2 linked regions of the Kluyveromyces lactis genome follow. The protein of the gene in region 2 purifies or fractionates together with the protein of the main gene of each other region. This does not show direct contact. Links are inferred from orthologs where the notes say so. Each region holds a gene or a part of one and is shown on either strand. Other genes may lie near its edges. The genes, in order: DSC2 and UBX3.

Region 1 (3,088 bases), on a different chromosome or scaffold from region 2:
TTAATTGTTTTTCTGTCATTAAAGATGCACTGCATTGTCTGAAACAATCATGTAAGTATAGCCTCAATCTTTTGAGTTTAAAGTTTGTGACATCTGCTTTCCAGGTTTCATTATTAAACACTTCAAGCCATACAAGATGTGCGCTTTCCCGAAGTTTAACATCGGAAGAATCGAGGTATGGTCGAACAAGAGGTTCAATTCTTTCTTCAAGATAGCATGCGTCAGGTATCTTCAATTCTGCCAAATTGAGTTGCAAATACTCCAAGATGAACATCAGCTTGGAGTGATAAATCTTATTATCCATATTAAATTGCATTTTAGAAATCATTTCTTTTAGTATCTGATCGAAGATATCGAAGTCCTGACAAATCCTGCCACATACGGAATATATGAGCTCCTGATATTTGGTAAATCCATCTAGTCCAAAGTCTTGTAAAATAAAACTTGTATAGAATAACGTCATCGTAATCTCATGCACGACTTCTGCTGAAGGTTTATACCCAGATAGTAGAATAACCACAATAAAGAGAATGTTGATGTAGTATTTATCTGTGTATTTTTTCCTACCAGTCAGTGTTTCTTTGTCAGATAAAGCACCCATGATTCTGCATAATTCCTCCAATTTACTCCTGAGCAGCCTTCGATTGTGTGTGTTAGATATGCTATGTTCACAAGTTTGACAAATCAAGTTCAAATGTTTGTAAGCGAACGCATTTGGTCCATGGTACTCTGTATCGCCGTTATTAATGTATGTCATTAGAATGTTGAAAAGACTTTGGAATAACAGCTCATTTGACGCAACATAATCGGACTGCATATGAACCATGGAATAAAGTATACATAAATCGTCAATCAACCGATGGTCACCTTTGGATATATTCATATACTGATTCCAATACGGCATGAAATGACGAAATTTAATATCTTTCAACTCCTCACTTGCTGTTCCTGAATCATCAATAAACAATTGCTCCTGCAAAACCTCAAGCTGCTGCCTGCAACTGATAAGACCAGCTAAAGTTGCAAGCTGGAAAATGTTGAGTGCAGAACATGATTCGAGTTCCTGTTTCCAAAGCGAAACGAATTTATGGATGCTCAAACGCGGTTCCGAGATCTCTAACTTCCATTTCATAACGGCAGACGATGCTTCAAATACTTGCCAGATGGTAAGCTTCTGTGGCTTCCAGTGGAACGAGGCATGTATTAGCTGAGCCAAGAGTTGATAATCTCGGATACGTGGCAAGTAGTAGACAATATTGTTAAGAACTTGCGACTCACCAACGGTCGAGGAAATCACCGATGAACCGTTTAACGCAGTTATCAAGTGGTTAATAGACTCCGTTTCTATCATCGAACTGTTCAGAAGGATAGCAGGCAAAGTACTCACACGACTTATTTCTCTAGCGTACCTGAAGTTTATGGCAATTGCCTTCCCTATTTGCTCGTAATGGTATCTAGGTATTCTTCTTGATATGAATGCATATAGTTTCACTGTTCAATCGTAATATTTCAATATCAAAATGAAAGACTTAAACTTTTTACCTTAAATAATTATAATCTTACAGGTAAAGAATAGAGACGAGCTTGAAGCGCAGATATTCTGGTATCGAATGAAACAATAGTCTCCCCGAACTAATTCTCGAACAATACATTTCGAGGGAAAGATCACTTGGCAGAACGCTGCTAGAAATTTTAACCAAAATGCCGTCAACAAATAGTGTAGGTGTGGAAATACCAACTGGATTGGTTCAATTCCCAATAACAAAGATACTGATGATTTGTTGTGTAGGGGTTGCCCTAACAGCATCATTATTCAATATGAAGTATCTGTTCCTTTTACAATATGACCCATTTATCGTTGAATATGGACAATATTGGAGGTATTTTACGTTTCAGTTAGGGAGTTTAAATGAAAGCGATGTTGCCATAATGACCTTGATTTGGTATCAGTTTAGATCGTTAGAGAGGCTATTTGGATCAAGGAAGTACCTTAATATCGTGATATTATCATGGGCTTATACAACAGTGGTAATATTTTTGATTTCGAATCTACTTAACAAGCTTTTGCCTGGAATTTGGTGGGATCAATACACAAATGGCCCACTACCAGTAATATTGTGTTTGACTCATTTCTACAAACAGTATACACCAAGGTTATACGAATTCAATATAATAATCAACCAACCTTTTCTTCTTCATTCTAACACGATCGTTTGGAAGCTGACAGATCAATTTTTCATCCATGGCCTGTTATTCCTTGCCATGGTAAATCAAGGCGCAACAGGGTTGGTAATCGGACTAATAAGTTGGATTTGTGCTATCTTGATGGATAATGGGCTACTACCAGGTACTGACTCCTTCCAATTGGCGCCTTTCAAAGACAGCTGGAACAGAAGTTCTAGCACATTAAACAGACCAAGCGCAGTTATGACAAACGATATGACATCGGAAGATCTAAATGAGGAAGAGGCCGAAGAACCTCAAGATGAACCTCAGCGCACTTTAGGGGTCCAGTTCTTGGATACTTTTAGAAGGTGAAACACTTTTTGTAGATAATGATAATATTTAAATCTATCAATGCGTTGATTCAATTACATGGTGTATATACATAAATAGGATTTAAAGAAACAGTTCAACCAGAAGAGCCTTCCTTTTTCATCTGCTGCCTCCTTTGAACATCCCAATTGTATAATCTAGCACAATTGACCTCCATAGTCGTGATATTCTCTCTTAGGAACTCCACATCTTGCTGAGATATGTCCAGATTTTGCTTGGCATCTGCTAGCTTTTGAGCTAAAAGCTCAATTGCCTCATCTAGAGGATACTCGAGCATCACATCGGCACCTAACCATAACCCGACCTTTAATTCAGGATCCTTCGGATTGACTGACGCCTTACTAAAAAGCGTTTCATTTAGCTGATAGTTGATCAGCAAGCTGTCATCTTCCTCCTCATCGTCTTCGTCAACCTCTGTCTCTCTCTTTTGCTTCAAAAGCGCACACATATTGAGAGTATTTTCAATATCTGGAATCTTGCTTTTAAGCTGTTTTATGTTTGCTAGTTTAGACTCTTGCATGTACTTATATTT
Region 2 (3,261 bases):
TTCCATCGCTCTATGTCACAATCTCGATGATAACAGAGAAATCAATAAAAAGGCTATATACGACTGGCTCATTTCTCTTAAAACACCTAGCGGCGCGTTCATGACTGCACGCCCAGTCGGCGAACAAGATGTGAGAGGCGTATACACTGCATTATCTATAGCGTCACTACTAGGCATTGTGGACTCTAAACTAACAAGTAATGTGACGGAATTCTTGACAAGATGCCAATCTTACGAGGGTGGTTTCGGAGGCTGCCCAAATGATGAAGCACATGGTGGCTACACTTTTTGTGCAGTAGCCAGCTTGGCAATGTTGAATGCCTTAGATAAGGTCAATATCGATGCGTTATTGTCATGGTGTAGTTCTCGTCAAACTAAAGAGGAGAAAGGTTTAAACGGAAGAAGCAATAAACTTACAGATGGTTGCTACAGTTTTTGGGTTGGCGGAACTGCTGCAATCTTAGAAGCATACGGGTATGGAGTATGCATAGATAAAGACGCCCTAAAACAATATATATTGAAATGCTGTCAATCGGAAGAAAGCCCTGGCCTAAGAGATAAACCGGGAACACAAGCGGACTTTTATCATACCAATTATGTGTTGGCTGGTTTATCAATTTGCGAACATTCTTTTATGGTCCGAAACAATTCACCCTTCGATTTTGTTGCAACTCCACTTGTGCCAGAACCGGAAGTTGAGCCTATTCATCCCATATTCGGACTGGCTATCCTTGACGTTAACAATTTCATTAATAGACGCGGAGAACCATCCATGTCTAATCTGTCAATGAAAGTGTAATGAATTCACGATTAACTCTGATGGCATGTGTAATACTATAAAACTATATACTCATTATGATACCTAAATTAACATGACTCCATAGGTGAAGAAAATAACTTTCGGAATATAATAAAATTGAGAGTAGCAATCATCGGGAATTATACTCTAACTATTAAATGCCTTAGTTGTACTATTTAGCCGTGGCGCTTTTCTTTGTGAATTTCCACTCACGATGATCTATCATTGTCTGTCCATTAAATTTGACATTTAAAAAACAATATCAGACATCCTTTAAAAGTTGTCAATGGTATCCATAGGGTAAATCTTCAGTAGAAGAAGAGAAAGCTTCACCTATATTAGAGGCTGTACTCTTCTATAGAAACGAATCTGCAACTGTTGAACATGGTATTCAACATTTTCAGTAGGCCGTCTCAGCAGAACCAACCTGCAGTGAGTTTTACCCCTCTCCCAGGATCATTCCCTGAAGACAATGATAATACAGAACAACCTGAACAGGAAACAATACTGAATGCTGGCGTTCCTAGAATATTAAAAATGTGCTTATACATTCCACTAACATTACTATATTACTTGCTCAATATCCTGTTAACTTCGGTGGAAGTTTTCAAACCAATAGGCAAGATCTTTCATTTCTACACAAGAAAAGACAATCATTTCAGCGATGATTTGGGTAACCAATTCGTAAATGTTATAGATGTCCTTTCTTCATCAGCCGATACCAACGAACAGAGTGGTTATACATTCGATACGTTGTACAATGTAGAGAATGGAATGTTGAGCAAAAATATGATTAAGGGTGGTTACACTGATATCTTACGTCGGTGTTCCAGCGATGGTAAATTTGCAATAATATCTTTCTTCAATCCGATACTATACGATCCATTCGAGTACGTAAGAAAGATTTTAACTTCCAACGAGTTTGTAGAATGTGTCACCAAATATAATTGCGTTGTATGGTTTTGCGATGTTACAACACCACAAGGGCTACAGACTGCTAATTCTTTAAAGATTAGACAGTTTCCATTTTTAGGTGCCCTTGGACCCCAACGGAATAATAAAATGAAATTGCTTGCCAGAGTGGAGGGCCAACTATTTGATTATGATTTCTCTCATTTTGAGGCCAAATTAGCCTCATATTATTCAGTATTAGTTGAGATTAGAAGGCAAAGACAGTACCAGGAAATGCAACGGTTATTAAGAGAACAACAAGATTCGAGATACCAAGAATCGCTAGAAAGGGACCAGGAAAGGGATAGGGTAATCGAGGAAAGCCAACTTAAAAAGAAATGGTTGGCTTGGAGAAAATCTGTACTAGTGCCAGAACCATCGGGTGACGGTTGCAGAGTAAGCATCAGACTAGAAAATGAAAGAATTATTAGAAGATTTGATGCTTCATTAACAATTGAGGAGATTTACGCATACGTTGCATTATACAGAGCAGGTTTATTATCTGACACTAGCAGCGAGAATGATATTACACAAGAAAAACCAAATTACGAGTATCAGTATGACTTTCAACTATATTCACCTGTGCCCAGAACCCGTTTGGAGCCAACCACAGTGATCAAGGAAGAACGGACAATTTATCCATCGGGAACAATTGTCGTGGAGTTCGAATGAAAACCAAATTACTGGTTTGCAGTTTGACATCTATATATGTATATATAACATGTACTTTATAATGCTACACGATTGCGGATTTATGATTCATGGGTGATAATAGGTTGGGAATATTTCATCAGTTTTTCTTACCACCCTTCTTCTTCTTCTTCTTTTTAATTAATCCAGACATACTTGTTTTTACAACATTAACATAATCCTTCCAAAATTTATCAAGAGTCTTTGAATCTACCAAAGTGAAGAATTTCGTTCGTTTCCCATCATATGGCATGCTCACTAGCACGATAAGTCTGTATGGTTTTGTATCTGGTTGAGCGTTTTGTTTTAAACGTTTGGATTCTGACATCTTTGAGATATCACCAGTAGGATTGGAAGTAACATCCAATTCATTAGGTTTTTGAACGTGATGACTGCCCAAGTCTCTTTTCAAGCTTACTTTGAGCTGATTGTGCGATACCTTGGACATTCTGAAAGCTTTTTCAAGCTTAACAAAAAATTCGTCATGAGACAAAGGTTTCTTTATGAAATCTGGCGTTTCCTTAAGCCCACTAGCGGTTCCATCTTTGTCTGACATAATGGGAAGTTACCTGTATATTCTGGTGACTTGGATAAGTGATGATATTGAACCTTTTTCTTTGGACATCTTTACCATATTCTGCCTGTCGAAGGTTGAATCTAAGGCCTTTCCCTCATTTGACTGGAGCTAAGTACGATTTTTTCAACTGGCAATTACACTACCCGGCCATCGTCCCTTCACTATGTGTTTCCTCTTTATTTCTACGACGTTTCTGATATCCACTCTGTTTCTATACCGGTAAACAAGTGCAAAAAGAATGAAA

The links.
Region 1: the proteins of UBX3 (region 2) and DSC2 purify together in Saccharomyces cerevisiae (affinity purification with western blotting; 5 studies listed by BioGRID, with this or other methods). This does not show direct contact. The link is inferred for Kluyveromyces lactis from reciprocal best matches to the Saccharomyces cerevisiae genes UBX3 and DSC2.

The regions. Positions count from the first base shown.
Region 1 is NC_006039.1:413,725-416,812, reverse strand, and holds DSC2 (Dsc2p), read left to right. Parts: upstream 1-1,701; coding exon 1,702-2,538; downstream 2,539-3,088. Other genes in the region: PEX8 (Pex8p), read right to left, coding at 1-1,351; tubulin-binding prefolding complex subunit PAC10, read right to left, coding at 2,633-3,088.
Region 2 is NC_006042.1:680,324-683,584, reverse strand, and holds UBX3 (clathrin-mediated endocytosis regulator UBX3), read left to right. Parts: upstream 1-1,183; coding exon 1,184-2,422; downstream 2,423-3,261. Other genes in the region: RAM1 (protein farnesyltransferase), read left to right, coding at 1-799; RNA-binding signal recognition particle subunit SRP14, read right to left, coding at 2,541-2,996.